3 linked regions of the Drosophila melanogaster genome follow. The protein of the gene in region 1 interacts with the protein of each later gene in a pairwise test. Each region holds a gene or a part of one and is shown in the gene's direction. Other genes may lie near its edges.

Region 1 (7,228 bases):
GAATCCGAGCGTGTCAAGACTGAAGGGTTGTCAGAGGCGCCACGCCCTGCTCCAGAGTTATCCAGTTGGAATACTTGTACACTGCTGACCCGCAACGGTCTCCGTGCCTGTCTGGGAGTAAGGCCAACCGTATCCTGGTCCTGGGATTCATTCAACGAGCTGCGGCTGGCTAGTGTGGTGGACACTCGCTTTCTCTTGGGCTGTGGCTCCACCTCGTCCTGCTCATCCTCGCTGCGCACCGGCTCCTCGTTGATGTCGTGGATGCAGGTCCACTCGCTCTGCTCGTCGCAGCTGACGTTCCTCGTCAGCATGCAGCAACAGTGCGGGTGAATCTGCAATGCCATGATCATCTCGGCGTCGTTGTTCTCCGGAAAGTCGGTGACCAGCTCCACGCGGTTCTTCTTTTGACGCTTGGAGAACACATGATCGTACTTTGCGGCCTGCGGGATATACTGTTCGCCCAACTGCATAAGTCGGTAGATACCGGGCTGGAAAATCAAACGGGCTTATTAGTTGACCATCTATCTACATATGTAACCATTTCATATATCTGGACGAAACTTAAAATCTTGAACCAAACTGAAAATCACAGCGATATTTACAAACTTTCTTACCCTGAATCCGCACAGATCTTTGTGGAGCGTGGTGAGGTCAAGGTGATGGATAATCATAATGTATCCACCGCTTGTGCAGAGAACCAGCTTATCGCCCGTGGGCGAAATCCTGCAGCGCATCAGTCCACTGGCATGAAATACGCGCTGCGAGATAAGGCCCTGTTCAGTCTGCGAATTGATGTCCCAAGTGAAGATGCTGCCATCGAAGCCGGAGCTTACGAGCAACTTGTCCTTGGAGGAGTACTCGATGTTCTTCACCCAGTTGGAGTGGCCGTGGAGGACGCGCAACTTCTGCTTCATGTTCCGCAGGTCCCACAGTGCCACAGTAAAGTCATCTGAACCAGTGGCGAAGAGGCGCTCGTCAAAAAATCTGGAGCGAGGATTAGCAACGAACCTCCTCGAAGGCAACTTCTACACTTACTTGATGCAATTGACACTATCTGTGTGGGCGTCCGGTACCTTAAAGATCTCCTTCTGTGTGATGGCATCGAAGACGAGGACGCACTTCCTCTCCGTGGCGGCCACGACAACGTTCCCATCGGCATTGAACTCCAGGTTGAAGATGGCCCCAGTGCGTCCCGCATCCGTGGGCCAGCAGTTGGCGTGGTAGCTATTAAACATGTTCATCGAGCTGTAAATCCGCCGCATCAGGGAGTTGTCGTCGCTCCGGTGGATGTGGAAGCCACTTTCGCGGCGGCTCAAGTACCGCTCCATCGTGTGGGCTCTGGGATCTCTTAAGTGGATCGGAAAACCTAGAGGAGTGTATGGGTGTGTGCCTTCTCGCGATTTCACAGGCACCGCGATGCAATTTCCCCGTGGCCTTTCTTGTGTTTATTCTGAAACCAGGGGTGCAACGCCGTGCTGCTTGTAACCGATTTCTTTTTACAACTGAACAATCAAGAATTAAGAAAGTTGAACAATGGTAGATTCATCAATGGTAGATAATCATCTGGACTTAAAATATCCTTTTTTGGCACAATACTCTGTAAATTAATGGAATCGATTCTTTTTGCTTCGCCGTACGATGATTAACTTGAAGTATTTTTCATCCAAAGCACTTATTGCAATTCAATATATTCTGAAATTACGATGATACAATTTCATAGTGTAGCCCTGAAAACGAAGTGCTTTTAACACCACTTGTAAAAATAGTAAACAAACATCTTTTTAGTAAAGACGTACAATTTGTTTCAGTATTTATTCTGCAACTATATAACATTATTTATTTATAAAAATTTTTGACAAATTTTTTATATTTAGTGATAAGAAATAGCCAATAATGTGATTTTATTGGCTAAATATTTTTTTTAACGAGTTTCAAAAATTATACTTAAAATCAAATTTGCTAATTTTGAGATAAGCAAAAAATTCGATCCTATCGATAGCACATCGATTTCTACCAACCTTGTTAGCCGCTGACCAACACTAAGCGTATTGGAATAAACAAAATGCAAGTTCAACTGGAGATAAAACCTTTAATCATGCTAAATTACCGGTGAATAAAGCCTTTCGAGACAAATTTTAAGATCCGGCCGAAATGGATCGGTTTGCTTTTAAGATCGACGCTGCCCTCAAGGCGAATCTGTGCACGATCTGTCGTCTGTGCGGCATCGATAATCCAGGAAAAGTGCCAATACTTTTGCCAAATGAAGAAGACACCATCGACCTGGACGAGCCTAGGATGTCCCAGAAGATCTACGAGCTGGTGGGCTTCACTGTGGGTGTTTTTCTTAAAAATGTTCATAGCCAAGTTAACCAACGCCCTTTGCAGGTGTCCGTGGACGACAAAATGCCGCAGACAATTTGCAGCCAGTGCGTGGATAAAATCAATGATTTTTATGAGTTTCGGGAAATGTGCTATGCGACGAATAAACAGACTCGAAATCTATTGGGATTGAAGCAAATAGAGCCCGCAAGAGTGAGAAAAACGAATAACTATATTATAATTTATAATTATACGAACTAATGTATTATTTACGCCTCACAGTTAATTGATCTTAAGCGCATCGTTAAGGAGGAACGGCCAATATCTGGTGCAGTTGGAAAACGGGGAAGGAAGCGCAAGGGCGAGGAATCCTGGCCAAAAAATAACAATGTCAAGCCACAGGTAAAAAAGGAGTCCTTTGTGTGGCACAAAAAGCAAAAACTACAGCCATCACAGATAACATCTTTAGTGTCCAAAAGAGAGCCGGAGATGTAACTATAACATACATTCCTCTTGTTCTATTTGTAAATAATTCCCATTTTTATTATCCCAGCAAAGACGAGCCCGCTGAACAGGACACCAGTCTTAAGGGACCACCGAAAAAGGCCGGTCGCAAGTCTATTTGCAGCGTTTGCGGCGAGAAGTTCCTTAGCAAGGAGCTGGCCGACGAGCATAAAAGCCTGGTGCATGTGCCATCGATACCGCGATACATATGTAATGCCTGCAACCAGACGCACCACAACCAGAGCGACATACGCGCCCACCAGCTGTGGCATAAGCTCTCCAAGACTCCCTACAAGTGTCCCCTGTGCGAGTCTAGCGTAGCCAATGCGTATGCTTTTACGCGCCATTTGCGCGAACACACACCACCCACTCCCGTCCAACTGCTCGTCCTGGATCGGGAGTGTCCGCTGTGCAAGAAGACTTTCGTCACGAACTTCTTCTACAACACTCACCGCTGTGCCATCCGTAAACGCAAGTGCGGCGGTTGCAGTCGCACCTTGAACACCGAAGCGGCCTATATGCGTCATGCGCCAACCTGCCCAAAGATTTACCTCAACCACTCGAAGCACATCATGCCCCAGGTGGTGACCAATGAGGCGCAGATGTTAATCAAGAACGAGATCGAGGAGGAATTGCTAGGTCTTCCGCCGGCCACAACAGTGCCGCCGGATTTCGTCATAGACGAGGGTATGCAACCGGTAGTAGTTCTGGAACGCCTGTCATCGCCACTTCTGCGGTCTTCGTCTGGAACCGATCAACTGGTTGCTGCCAAAAGCAAAAATAGCGATAGGGTTTCTGCCAGGAATTATTTGAAACGAGTGGATCAGCTGCTGAAGAATACGATTAACACTCTGGTCAGCATTAAGCATGAGCCAGAAGTGCACATAAATGACACGGGGCCACCTAGAGGTCAAGCCGAGAGTGATCCCGAGCCGGAACGGAATGAAGAACATCCAAGTTTTGGTGATGATATTCAGGCAGCTAACGACGAATGTCAGGAATGTCAACCGGAAACAGAATCCGATAAAATCTCTGTTGCTGCCTGTGACGATATTCCCAGTGTATCTGTTAAACAGGAACCCGAGTATGACGGCTATGAAAAGCAAACGGGAGTGAAGCAAGAGCCTCTGAAGCTAAAACTTAAAATAACGAAGAACCATGGAAAGCTGAACTCTTCTCTCATAGACGATCTGGATGAAGCTGGACAGGCGTTTGGCAGAAGCAGCAAAAAGAAAAAGAAAAGAAAGCATAAGGAACGGGAGAAGGAAGCGTCGAACGAGACTGAAAACTGTCGAACAGAATCTCAGAATCAACCTGCCATTAAAATCAAACAGGAACCCGTCGATTATGCTCCTGAGGCCACTGTCATGACCACTATTCCCATGACTCAGTTTGAAAGCAGCTTAAACGAAAGCGAACGAAGTGAGGAAGTCGATGAGGCCATGATTCAGAGTCAGGAAGATGTTAAGCCAAATCGCATGGAGCTTGATCGTATGATGCAGATCTCTAATGTGACCAGTGGCGTGGATATGGCAGAAGAAGCAATGGCATTAGAACGAGCTGAAGAAGCCTGTCCCGAGGACTCCCTGCACAAGGTGAAGTCCGTAAAGTCCACAGCGCGCAAAAGTACGGGAGGTGCAGAACGGAAAACGTATAGCCCACCCAGGACGAACACTTTGCCGCAGATTGTTGCCGTTGTGAGCGGCGAGTCGGCGTTTAACATGATTTCCATCAAGCCGGAACCGAGAAATCTCGGATATGGAGACGAAGAACCAGAAGATCAACGAGAAACTACAGAAGAGATTAATCATAATGACATGATGGAAGAAGAGAAAGAATACATAGGCAGTTTAGATCTAAGTGATGTATCAGTGAAACAGGAAAGAGAGTTGGACATATGCGAGATAGACGCCGTGCACAGAAACGGATTGGAGAAGAGTGATGAGGACGATGACGATGGAAATGAAGACAGTGCATCATCAGCCGATGAAGCTGAGGAAGCCATGGAGCGGGACACGGAAGAGCGCATATATCGTGAAATAGAGTTGCCACCATTAGAACTTCAAAACGAGTCATCTAGGAAAGATTTGGAATCGGAAAGAATGGATACAGAGGTATCCACTGCATTGCCTGCCAGTGAAACTCCTTCGCAAACTCGGGACGTGCTAGGTGTGGAAAAATCAGAAGCTTCTGCTTTTAGTTTGGTCATAACCAACATATGCAGTCAAGCTGTACCGCAACCATCTGCAGCATGCTCAAATGATATAGAATGTTCAATAGGCCCAAGCCCCAGCACTACAAATGAACCTCATTCCCACACAGTGGAAAATGTCCAGTCTCCTGCAAACGACCTCCAAACTTCTGCACAAGTTGCCATTGCCGCACAATCCCAGCCCGATCCTTGCATTGTCTCTCAGCCTGCAGCTTCGTCCGAATCCCAAGCAGATACTAAAGATCTCCCTCCCGCAGCTTCACAGATCCAAACCTTTAACACAGAATCTTTGCCGATTCATGTCCATAGCGAAACTGAGGATAATTCAATAGAAAACGATGCCTCCTATCTGGAATCACGTGCTCAGGTCGACTGTCAATCCGCGGGAACAGAAAATCCTTCTGTTGTCTTAGAGCAAAACGAATCCCTCCCAAGTGGAAGCTGTGTTTCGCCTATACCTGAAAACCCCTCCCCAGGTAATTCACCACCGCAACACGATGAATCGGAATCTCTGGACAAACCAGAAATGGCAGCAGGGAGTGCATATTGTTTAGCAACAGTGTCGCTTGATGCTCCAAAAGATACTGAAGCGCTTGCTTTGCCACCTTGCGATGCAGCTATCATAGATAGTAATTACACATCCGACGAGGAGCAGCAAAATGTGCTTAATCATGAGCTCTCGGAGCAGCAACTGGCTATAATGGAACACAGACAGCTACTAGTTCACGAGGAGCAGCCGGCTTTGCTGGAGGTAATACCACCAGGACTCTCGTCTAGGCCGATCGAGGAGACTGAGAACCGTATTAACGAGCAGCAGCAGGATCTGGAGCAGGGGGAGGAACGTCCACCTCGTTTCCAGGCCAACGACGACTCCAATATCAACGAAATCGCCGAGAACAATAACAACGCCAACATTGAGCGTGAATTGCAAGACGATGCGCTCGGGGCTCAGGAAAACGTAAATCCATAGACTTCGGATAACTGATTGGCCTTAGCCATATATCCAATTTACACTAGCATGCCCTCCTCATTCTATTAGGAGCTGTAAATATGTACGGAATGGTGAATTGTGCTTTTGTAATTGGATACGAGTAGAATTGGAGCTACCACGAATTGAGAATAAACTTCTTTCGGATAGCATTATTTTTAAGTTAGATATACACAACTTTATTACATAAATTAATGGCTTATATGTTAGCATATGTAAGTATAATGTATTTAAATACATACATCGCACAAAACTCTTTAGACATGCGTACACACATTAATCAAAAATCTGATCCACATAAATTTCTCGCTCTGACAAGCTTATTGGGTTTATTAGTTTCAAAAATGTCACGACAACATACATATACGTAATCGTGGTTTAAATACAAACACACAGAAGAAAAATGACTACAAGTTTGCATTAAATGCGCTCGAACTAAAAGAAAATACTTATGCGTTACTAGGTCATCAATCGATTGGGTGTAACTGAATGAATAGACAGCTTTAGCGGACCCATGGGTGCCCGAGGAAGCCTTGTGGTCAACATAATTTGAATACATGCCTATTGGACTTAGCCACACTTACATTACATTTGTTAATAATTATTTCAACAAGTAGTGAATTATTACTGAGCAAACTTGTAAATTTAGTTTATGGTTAATTGCGGGCAAATCTATTAGTTTAAATATTGTATTTGAATAATTCTCAGCTGTGGCTTTATTAATAGCAGTCACAGATTTCTTTTCGTTTGATCCTTCCCTTTGTTGTAGATTTATAAAATATATTCACTATAATAAATTTCTATCGCTCAGTTTACAGTTTTTCAGTTCGCTTAAAGGTGAATCTCTAATTTTTCACAAACTCCTCTTATATTTTGGTGTTCTCAAGTTTTTGGCACAGTAGTCTGAACGGGGTTTGCAAAACTCACCCACATATTGAAGAAACACTCGGTGTGTATTATTCATATTTAATTGAGCAGCTTTATGGATATGCAAATGTGATTTGGAACAAACGAAAACGGGTAATTGCTGATAAAATTTCTCAATTTGTGATTATCCTTTAGTAGATTTTGTTTTTGTTAAGCGCGTACAATTAAATTAAAGAGGTATGAAAATTCACTAACAGTATTTACAGGGATTTATCTAACGATAAACCAAAATGCCAAAGCACAAATTAAATTATTGCTTATTTTTGGAATAGTGTCTG
Region 2 (6,304 bases), about 11 Mb from region 1:
ACCTCGAAAAAATATTAAAATTGTGGTAAATAAATGGAAAATAAAATATGTGGGTATATAAAAAGTATTTATATATGTATGTAAGCATATGTGTATTCTGTTAGTTAAAACTGATTTTCCGCTCACTCTCTCTCTCTCTTCTTCTGGCACCACTCTCTTTCGCTCTGCTGCGGCCGCCATTGCTAAATGCCGACGCCTGCGTCGACGTCAGCGTCGGCGCCAAGTGGCTGGCCAATTCTTGTGGGTACATTAGCACTAATGATGATTGAAACGACAAACGTGACGCCGAAGCACCCGAAAGGATCCTCTCCATCCCCAGCTCGTTGCCAAGCTCCAGTTCCCAATTCCACCTCTCCGTTTGCCCTTTTTTGGCTGCAAATTCCTGGCTGTGATTTTAGAATTTGTCCCTCTTTGGTTTTTTGAAAGATGAGACGAAAGTTGGACATTGAGGGAACAAGGCAATTTGTAACAATTTGGTTTTTATTTTCTTTAAATACCGTAAGCTTGGTCGATTTACCCAAATTAAATCGTTTTAAATGTTATGACGATTGCAACTGCATAGCAAGCAAATTCTTGCAGTGAAAAATCATCTACTACTTTTACTATATTTTATGTACATACATTTAAAGTTTCTTCAAAGCTAACGGATTACATTTGTTTTATTTTTTTGTGTGTAAACTCGCCATTTGCTTTGTTCTTTTTTGGCATTTTCCTTGTCTGCCCGCTCCACGTGCTCTTGCATTGATTTACTTTGATGGGCCGCTAATTGGGGCCTCCTTCGTCTTTCCATTTCCGTTTCCGCCAGTTTCGCTGGCTCGTAATGATCGTTGGCATTCCGGGTAGTTTATCAAACGGTAAATTGAACACCCGTTTGGCAGGCAAAAGGGTGGAGCCAAGGGGACGGCTAATTGGGGTTGGGTTTGGGGTTGACCTGCGGCTGTAGATAGTTCGTATTGCCAACTTAGTTTGGGGATTTGGGCCAAAAACGTTTCCAAGACTTAATACTACTAACATCGGCCAAAAAGGACCATAAAATGAAATTGACAAAGTTTATTTACTGATAAGTCGTAAACTGAAATACTAAATCTAAAGGTAATTCGACTCTGAATTGCACTTCGACATTGAATATCATGTTGTATACAGTGAAAATTTAACTAAATTAAGATTTAAAACAAATTATTAATGTGCGTTGTTTTGTCGATTTTACCTGTCCAAATTTAGATATTTATACTTATGATGTATCTACGATGTAATTTCTTAGCTTATTGCTTCATTAATTATGTCTATCCCCACATAGCCCTGCCCCAGTGGCTTTTCCACCTATTCACAAAATATTAATAATCCAGCGTCGCCATATTGTCCCGCAATATTTTCCGACTGCTTAGGTACCGCCCATTTGCCATGAGCGAGGGAGACGCTACCAGTGAGCCAATTATCCATTTATATCATAATTTCAATAACTTTTTATACACTCGCCCTCGGAAGGGAAACGGGTGTTTACCAATGGGTGTGTGGGCAGGGTTGCTCTGATAGGTGGGTGGCTCGGGTGGCTGGTGGTGGATTGCTCCCTTTGGTGGGTGATTCCTTTTTATGTAACTGCCTGGTGGATGCTCCTGAATAATGACGATGACTATCAACGATGATTATGATGACGATGATGATGATGAGGCTTCGGTTGACGATGTTTTTATGCCTCAGCTACATCTCATCTCCTTCTTTCCTTTGTTGGCTCTTTCAATGGCTCTGATCTAAGCTGAGTGCAGGGTTGTCAACTGTAGCAAAACAAAGTCATGGGCGAAAGTCTAAAAAGGAGATTTTAACGCTTTGCTGTTTTGAAGATATTGCTTTTAAAAGACAAATAATAAATCTATATCTTTCGGATGTGTTGTACCAATATGTTTTAAAATATCATATATATGAATGTATAATAGAGAGACTTTCTAAATGTACACTTTAATCGTTCAAATGCTTAGGAACATAATAGATTTAAACTAAATTAAGGTACAAATAATTGTAACAAATTTAATTATAAAAAATTAGGTATGTACATAATTGTGTCAAAAACCAAGATACCAAGATTATTTAAAACAATTTTTCATTTAAATTTAATTCTGTTTTCGTTAGCACAAAAAATTAAATGTATTCATGAAAACGAACAAAGTTCAAAGCACTTAATTACTAGTTAATGAATACTATTAGTGAAAGTTTTGACAACCCTGGTTGAGAGCAAAAAAAAGCCAAAGGAAAAGCGGATAGAAAAATCACAACGGCAACTCACGCACACCCACAAAAAGAATCACTCACCCGCACACAGACACAAACAAGCGCACCGCAGCAAACAGAAAGCAGCGCTGCCAGCTTCGCTGCCGGCGTTCGCTGCCGATAATGTAAAAATTTTACGGCCACGAACTTTTAGTTCAGTTCAGTTTGCAACACGTTCGCGTTCGCATGTGTTTCCGGCAGTTAAACTTCCGCTCGATTTTCTATTCGATTTCCGTTACTGCCGTTGGGCGCAGAACTGTAGGCAACACTTTTTGCAGTGCCGTCGGAAAAGCAAATTTTTCAGATTGAAAACTGTGTTCGTGAAAATAATAGTGAAAGTACTGAAAACTGATTAACTCACGCTTGGATTATCTTTTGAGTTGATTACATCTGCAATTGAAATCAATGTAATTAGAACTTCATTGGTTTAGAAGGTTTGTAACTTTTGCAATTTATAAGAATTTTTGGCCCAAATCGAGTTCCGTCGGCTTTTTAATTCAAGATTACTAAAAAAGATTTCTGATTTTGGATATGCCATTAAAAGAATTATTTGAGATTTACCAGCGTTGAGCTTGTAAACATAGCAATAATGTATAATTTATTATGCCCAATATTTTAAAATGCATTCAATGCTTAAAATTTTATAACGGATTCTCTAAAAATTTATCATTCAGCTAAAATCTGTATGTTTCAATAAGATAAATACCTAAAATTTTCAATACAAAATCATATTTATGATAGCTCAGATGATAGCTTAAATTTGATTTAAAGTGCTTATATGTTTTTACAAGTTTCTTATCGTTATTAATTTTTTTCAAATTGAACAAAGACTGATAAATGAACATGAGTGATTAGAAAGATACAAAATAGGATAACATACTAGCTTTTCTCTCAGGATCTAAGCTCCACAATTAATGTAGCTAGAAATTCACAGCCGGAATGTGTGTGAAATCCACTTGTTACACCCAAATGGCATTCTCCTAATGAAGCTCATTTGGCCCGCACACGACATTAGCCTCGCATATTTAGTCAAATCAGCTTAAATGCAGCTTGAGACATTCGCATATTTGGCCTAAAGCACAAACAATGAGCGACAACAGTGCTGAGGACTTGGGATGGTGCTTCACCTGGGAGAGCAACTACATCTGCCACAATGAAGCAGCAACTGTGACAAAGTCTCAATTAGGCTATCACATTGCCACAAAACGATTCAGGTTTGGCTTACCTGGGCAAACACAATGCATGCGAGCGAGAGAAGCTGGCATTAAGCAAATTATACACTTTTCAAAATTATTCTACATAAGCTGATATTATAAAATTTTAACCCTTGTAATGAATGCCAGAAATAATGTACAAAAAGGATCCATTTTAACATTGAAATATAGAGTTATAATTCTAACTTATATGCAAAAGTTGCAGATTCCTCTGTTGATTAAAAATATTAAAGATCCTTTAAAAGAAAATTTACTTCTTATAATTAAAGATATTGTTCTTATTTTAATATCTAATTTGATAGGACCATGTTTATAGACGATTGTAAACTAGAAATATTGGTATTGTTAACCTTAGATACTGTTGTTTCTACTTATATTAAGTTAGTAATACTTCAGTTCCAAAATTGTCATTGTGTAGGGAAAGTCATCAAAAGGTCCGTCCCAACCAGTTGTAGTTCCATTGTTCCATCTCCCACCACTTAGCTGAGCTGACCAAGCACTTCATGGTAGAGCAACTTCTTCAGCCAGCGATCACATTTCACTTAATTGTGGATTTAATCGGGGAGTCGTTGACACCTGGCAGCCACAGAAGCTCCACAGCAGAGCAACAATTAAACAGAGGCATTTCTCCCATTTGCAGAGCGACCGAGAATCCCGGAGGCCAGCGGCAGAAGGCGGACGACAACTCGGAGACAGTGGCAAATACCTAAGCATGCTGCAGAATCCTTCCAAATATCACGCAAATCCCTTGTCGCACTTCCTGGCATTGCATAACACACAAGCCAGTGGCGGCGGCAGCGGCGGGGGATCGTCGGTCGCCGGACTTGGAGGTTTGGGTGGGGGCATTCATGCACATGGTCAACCGCATCATGCAGCGCTGGCAGCGGCTGCAGCAGCGGCGGTCGCTGTCTCGGCGGGTCAGAGTTCATACCAAATGGAGCACCAGCAGCAGCATCATCAGTTGCAGCAGCAGCAGCAGCAGCAGCAACATCATCATCATCAGCAGCTGCACACCCACCACCAGGATGGCCACCACCCACACCCACCGACACCCACCACCGGCAACAACAACAACAACAGCAGTAGCAGCAGCAACAGCAGCAGCCACAACAGCAACAGCAACCACCGGGAACAGTTGGCGGCGGCGGCAGCCACTGCGACGTCGCACGCGCAGCTCATCGAGGCGGCAGCGGCGCATTCCTCCCTCGACGTGGGCAAGTCCTTTACCATCGCCGCCATTTTGGGCCTGCAGAGCCAGCGCAAGGACTACAACAATGCCATCAATCTCTCCCTGCACGACAACAACAACATCATCGGTGACGACAACAACAAGTGCTACACGAGCAACCCCAACAACAACAACAACAACAACAATAACGGCGGCAGCAACAGTGGCAACAACAACAGCAGCCCGAGTGTAAACAACTTCAATTGTGATAGTGTCGCCGGTAATGGACGTTACCTGCACGGCGGACACCAGCATCCGCATCCGCACCAGGCGGGATTTGCAGCGGTTGCCGCCGCCGTCGGAGCAGCTCCCTCCGCCCTGCAGAGCCTGCAGCAGCTCCACCAGCAACACCACGCTCAGCAGCAGGCCACCCTGAGCTTTCAGCGGGAAAAACTCAAGTCGGGTAAGCAGGTGTTTCAGTCGATGAATAACCCATGATTTGATCATAAGTGGGTATTAAGTAAACATAGTGTGTGCACATCTAATACCTCCATTTGATCATCATTTTGTGATTCGGCAGATTCTCACAAGAAGAGCGCACTGAAGAACAAGCGCGTCCGGACAATCTTCACGCCGGAGCAGTTGGAGTGCCTGGAGGCGGAGTTCGAGCGCCAGCAGTACATGGTCGGCCCGGAGCGGCTCTACTTGGCACACACCCTAAAGTTAACGGAGGCTCAGGTGAAGGTGTGGTTCCAGAATAGGCGGATCAAGTGGCGCAAGCACCACTTGGAACTGACACAACAACGGCTGGCATTGATAAGGCAAACTCAACTGCCAGGTACATCGTTATTGGGCAATCAAGTATCCGTGTCGGCCAATGCGGCCCATTCTGTGTCCACGGAACGCACAAACGGATGCAGTGCAGCCTCGCCCAGCCTGCAGGAGGAGGACAACGAGGATAGCAAGCACTCGCTGTCGCTTTCGGGCGCATTACCGCCGTTGAGTCGAGCGCAGTCCGAGTCGGATTTGTCCATCTGTAACGATTCCCTGGACGGCGACAGCCTCATGGACGGCAGCGAGGAGGCCTAAAAACCACGCCAGTGCAAAGCAAGTTTCCTGTAAATATAGTCAAATAAATATGTACAATATCGGTTTTCTATACTTCTGCTTGTCTTTAATTGTTGATGATTAGCTGCAAGTTGATTGTTACAATCAATCAATGCAAACTATATTATATTGTATAAGCATTGCAGTATATCCATTACATACGAGTACTGAAAAAGCTTATTTAAAAACAGAATAATACAGACATTTACACTCAATTCGCACTTTATACCTTGATCAGTTATCACATTGGAGTATTTCACTTATTGCTGAGCAGCCGCCCTGGCGAGCCGATCGTGGCAGGATAGGTGCACGATGTGCCCATTTGGATAGCGCACGAAGGCGGACTGGGTTTGAAAACGCTTCTTGCACTCGGAACACACACTAGACTCGTTTAACTCGAAGCTAATGTTTCGCTGCTCCTCCAAGGCATTCTCCAGGCGCGTGGACTCTGCCTCCAGGAAGCCGCACATCATCTGCATCTCGTGCTTGTCGGCCATCATTTTACGTATAGATTTCTCCAAGTATTTCTCCAGCTGGGGCATGGGCATGTCAT
Region 3 (5,183 bases), on another chromosome or scaffold:
GGTGCCAACAGTGCTTGCAACATCGATGCGGCAACCACTTGATATCCCGCTGCTACGAATGCGTCGGCATTTTGCCTGGCCAACTGCCCGAGGGCAACATGGTGGATGAAGGAGCCACCTGAAGATGGATATTAAATAACATTTATTGAAGAGACACTACATTCCTTGTGGGGGCTTGCAATATGGGGATGCTTGCAATATTGCTCAATGGTGCAAACACTTGTGCTGTAACTACGATGACAACGGCTTAACGATGGAAACTGGGGACTAGAACTTGTACTGGAAGGACTTGGGTGCCTTGTACTTGCTGGCCATTCCCGAAGAGTCCACAGGATCGCTCTGGTCGAGGAACAGACTGAGGAACTGTTCGTTCTGCAGCTCATTTAGCGGCATCTCTAATTCACTGCAGGATTTGACAATCTCAGCGCAGGCTCGCAGATCCTTGCGCATATCTAAAAACGAAACGGGAGTTACATAATATTCGGTTGTGTTGCACAGACTCACATTGATAGTTAAAGAGCAAGCTGAGGCAGCTGGAGCAGGCCAAACGCTGCTGGTGCTGCAAGAACGCCTCGATTAGCCGATGCACCGCATCAACATTGTTACGGGCCAGAAATGAAGAGCACAAAGAACTGGCTCTGCAAGGAAGGTTACATTGGGATTCAAATTTCGGGTTTTTAAAGAAATTAAAGCGACTTACCTCCTCTCCACTAGCTCTTGCAGCTCCTTGTAGTGCTCAAACAGTTCCGAAGCCGATTTTTGATCGCAAAACCAATCGCTAGCGAAGCATTGCTTCCACACACAGGCCACCACAAAGATGTCCTTGTGCTCGCGGTGAATGGCACGCGCTACCTCCAGCAGCGACACTAGCACCGCCTCACTCTTCTGGGCCAGAGTCTCCTCGGAAATGGTGCGGAATGCGGAGCGCGCCATCCGCCTGCCCTCCTCCGAAGTCATGCTTACCCCGTAACCGCGATGTAGCGTCATCAGGGCCACGTCGGCGTTACCATTGTTCCACAGGGCGATGGCGCGGAAGGGCGCCAGATCCGCGTAGGTCTGTGAGAACGGGTGCTCCAGCTGCCGACAGGTCTCCGCCAGTGCCTCCAACTGCTGGAGCTTGCGCTGCGCGCTCAAATACTTTAGACAGGACACGAAGACCTCGTTGGAGGGCAACAGGTTGCAGCGGATGCACTGACGTATCAGGTAGAGAAAGTCCAGCTTGTTCTTGATCTCCAACGTGGCCATCAGCAGGTTGTCCAGCTGCGCCTGCGACAGGGATCTGATATCCAGTCCCAGTTGGGGGGAGCGCAGCGCCTTCAGATCACTCATCATGCCCTTGGACATAAGACCCACGTTCTGGCTAAAGCTGGTACTACCAGCCTTTCGCTGCGTTCCCACATTGCAATTGGCGTCCGCCTCCAGATTTCCGGACGATGGCCTCTTTATCAGGCTATCGCGCAGCTCCTCCCACTTTTGGGTCTTTCTGGTCACCAAGTCGTTGGTGAAACAGTCCATGGGATCGAGATGTGTGGACTTCCGACGTTGCCGCTGCGTTCCCGGCCACAAGAAGGCCGAGATGTAGTTTTGGAAACGCTGCAGGCCCTTGGGTGAACCGGGTGCTCCGGCCACCGTGGTGGTGCCGCTGCTGGTCAATCGCGTCAGCATGGCCATGACTTGGGGTCACCTCCGCGTCCTCCGCTCTTCTAGACACGCCTCCTTTGCCCCGTTTTTGTCTCGGATTGTATAAGTTGTGTATATTTTTTGTTTTCAACAGTGTTACCGTCGCTGATCCGTGTGAAAATGCCATCGAGGAATACCATTATTACGAATCATAGCAAGTTGTTACTGAAATAAACTCAGATACTTTGTTTCACAAATGTTTAAAAATGGAATGCTGCATATAATTACAAACTTACTTTTAAGTAGAGTCATTTAAAAATCCATAAATTTGTATGTAAATTTAAAGTTACCCCTACGTGGCAGCTCCTGTTGCCTATAGTTGGCAACGCGAGTTCACCCAATCCAGCAGTCCGGCAACGCTTCCAGTTAGCCAAAAATTGATTTCATTTGCAAGAAAACTTTAAAACGCAAATGAAATGGCCAGCGATATTCCACCTTCAGCCATCCGTATTTGGATGGACAAGCTGAAAAAGGGCGTTGGGCAGCCGGCGACAGTCCTAGAGCGTTCCCTGCTCAATTTAATGAGTGCAGGTAAGTGAACCATTGAATGTCCAATCCATAACGTTTGTCTCAAACATCTAAAAATCCAACTTCAGAAGCAGCCAGTTTATCGGTGAAAAATGCCACGGAGCGAGGCATACTGGTGGCCAGAGCAGGCGGCGGACGGTCCAAGCGTCTGGCCCTCGCCTTTTGTCAAAAAGTAAGCCGGCTGCCCAGCTCACCAATTGATCCGTTCTGCTTCGAGTGCCATTTGCCCGGAGCCGTTAAGAAATGCATATCCTGCCATCGCTCCTTCCACGAGAATTGCCAGCGACAGGACCCGGAGAAGCCCAATTATTCAGTGCCCTCGGACAAGGGCCAACCTTACCAGTTTCCCGTCAACGAATTGGACAATCAGCCCCTGAATAACACTCAGAACTTGGAGACTCCCCAAACGCCAACGCCCCTGCTCGATCATAATAGCAACATCAATCAGACTTTGCTAGCCACTACGGATTTCCTGAAGCACGAGAACATCGAGTGGGACGACGACGTCTTCTTTGTGTGCGAACAAAAGGGCGCGCGCCAGCGAAAGCTGCCCAGGATCAAGGACGAACTACAAAGCAGTTTGGATAGCGATGAGGGAAGCGATCTGGAGCGCTGCACCCACTGCCGTTTGCTCGCCCTGGCCGCTCTCCACAACCCACCGCAACTCGACAAGCAAGAGCTGGGCTGCCTATTGAAGTACTCCTGGGACCAGCATCACTCCTGGATCTCCATGGATGTGGCCAAGTACATGGCCAAGCATTGGAACGAACGCGACAAGGCGCTGGTTAAGCGGCTACTCTTCAAGACAAAGATTTTGGGTCTGGGCGACATCGAGCGCAACATAGCGGCGGCGAAGTATACGTACCTAACAGAATTCCTAATGGATCTGCTCGATCTGCAGCACAACATGGCCGTGTTCTTTGGGCAAAAGAGCGTTGAGTACAATGCCACCAAGTGGCTGATGAGAGATGTGACGCACGACATTCGCGAAATCCGTCGTTGCCCCGACTGCTATAGGTATTCCAACGAGGCCAGCCTGTCGGATCTCTGGTTCGCCAAGCCATGTCTTCAGCGGCACGAGTTGGTATTTGCCAAGCAGGTGGGCTCACCACCGTGGCCTGCAAAGGTACGTACGATATTATCATTACTATGTAATATATACACATAAATATAATTTCTTTACCAGGTGATGAGCGTCTCCAAGCGTCAGCCCATCAAGTACGACGTCCGCTTCTTCGGTGGCACTCATTCCCGGGCCCTCATCTCAGAACGTGATATTACACCCATCGAGTCGGACATTCAGTCGCATATCAAACCACGGAACTCCCGAGCTCTGAGCGCTGCGATAAAAGAACTGCAGTGTCACATGATGTTGTCCCACTATTCCGCCTCGCTATTCGGCTTCCATGCAGATCCCACCGTTGCCGAGAATCTCATTAAGGTGGCTCTATCCCACTGCACGGAGTCAACGGAAACGAGTGCGTCCGGCAAACGAGGACGCCCGCCGACTCCAGCCACTCCCGGCGCTGCAAAGAATCGACGGCTTAATAACACCACTTCGAATACCTCATCGCCGGTGCCCATTCGTGGGATTCCTGACTCCGTAGCATATGATAGTCTAACCGCCGAAATACTGCAGGCGCATAACGATCTGCTAAATTGCCGAAGAGAGCTCTCGGCCACGCAAAGGAAGCTGGCCGAAGTGAAAAGGAAGCAATGGTGCTACCATTGCCTGGATGAGGCCGTTTTTAACTGCTGCTTTACTGCGTCCTACTGCAGCGTTGAATGCCAGCGACGTGATAAGAGACGCCACCAAGCATCCTGCAAAGTTACTCATTAAATTAGGACTACAGACGAAATTGGAAACTATGTCCAAAGTGATAACATCTCGTTTGTTACCATCCTTTTGTATCAAATGTATCCGTTCTTAAGATATGCATCAATATTTTCAGAAGATAAAGAATGTTAAACTTGTATTAATGAAAAATATTATCAATGAGATATTTGAAAATGGCGCCTTTTCCGTTCTTATGATGGGCAGCACTGTTTCCGCTAGGTGTCGCCACCTGATCATATTAATCCATATTCATATTACGTTTATAAAAAATCAGAAAAAACGTACAATACTTTAAAAGTGTGGGCGTGGAACTTACTTGTACTTGTTACTAACAATATAAAAACTTGTTTCCTACCAAAAAATATATACATATTTTATAAGAATGGGTATTATTTCGTGCCAGCTGTATTCATAATAATAAACACAAATTATTGTTCATCCACAATATTTTCGTGGCATACTTAAATAATTACAATTGAAACACATGGAAAACTTTAATGACAGTTTCTTTCTCGATAAAACCAATCGATTTTGAATAGTATCTCATTAAATTCATGGTTTTTAACTGCTCTAATTTTAAATGGTTTTATTCGATTTATCAATATTTAAACCATGAGCAAGATCTGTTTTCCCGCAGTCGTCTTGCACAGCCATACTTATAAAAAAGGTTCCCAATTTATCTATTTAAAAAAGTGCGCAAGAAACATATACCAAATAAGCGAATCACTAAAGTGAATAGTTAAGTTTATACCTTAAAAAGGAAACAAGAAAGCAAGTCAAAAGTATTATTATTTTAAAAAGAATCGAAGGCCTTTGTACTGTGTATAACTAAAAGGAAATAATGGCAATCAAGCTGAAATTGTGCGTCGCTTTTCAGTTGATTTGTATTTATTATCTCACAGAGGTAACGAATTATTATAACTGAAATGTCATATTTTAAAAGCTTCTTTTAGGTTTATTCCCTAGTGGAATTTACAAACGTACAGTGCGAGACCTTGGATAAGGACTTTTCCCTATTTGAATATTGCTATCTTTAATCTGTGAACCGATCTTACAAATATGTTTCCCTCAAAGTTAAACTACTAAAGATACCCGTAACCAAAATTAAGGTATAATTTAGTAAACTTATATTTATACC

The links.
Region 2: the proteins of CG1647 (region 1) and CG18599 interact in a two-hybrid assay, tested with the Drosophila melanogaster proteins (one large-scale study listed by BioGRID).
Region 3: the proteins of CG1647 (region 1) and CG8569 interact in a two-hybrid assay, tested with the Drosophila melanogaster proteins (one large-scale study listed by BioGRID).

Annotation. Positions count from the first base shown.
Region 1 is NT_033777.3:28,818,187-28,825,414, forward strand, and holds CG1647 (uncharacterized protein), read left to right. Parts: upstream 1-2,034; 5' UTR 2,035-2,151; coding exon 2,152-2,331; intron 2,332-2,385; coding exon 2,386-2,532; intron 2,533-2,601; coding exon 2,602-2,810; intron 2,811-2,872; coding exon 2,873-6,005; 3' UTR 6,006-6,322; downstream 6,323-7,228. Other genes in the region: CG1523 (uncharacterized protein), read right to left, coding at 1-488, 615-984, 1,036-1,328.
Region 2 is NT_033777.3:18,265,369-18,271,672, forward strand, and holds CG18599 (uncharacterized protein), read left to right. Parts: upstream 1-2,420; 5' UTR 2,421-2,696; intron 2,697-4,116; 5' UTR 4,117-4,188; coding exon 4,189-5,107; intron 5,108-5,224; coding exon 5,225-5,733; 3' UTR 5,734-5,804; downstream 5,805-6,304. Other genes in the region: Vps39 (vacuolar protein sorting 39), read right to left, coding at 6,012-6,304.
Region 3 is NT_033778.4:12,517,137-12,522,319, forward strand, and holds CG8569 (uncharacterized protein), read left to right. Parts: upstream 1-2,029; 5' UTR 2,030-2,096; coding exon 2,097-2,211; intron 2,212-2,276; coding exon 2,277-3,334; intron 3,335-3,394; coding exon 3,395-4,048; 3' UTR 4,049-4,488; downstream 4,489-5,183. Other genes in the region: CG13151 (uncharacterized protein), read left to right, coding at 1-122; CG8818 (uncharacterized protein), read right to left, coding at 268-452, 505-638, 701-1,671.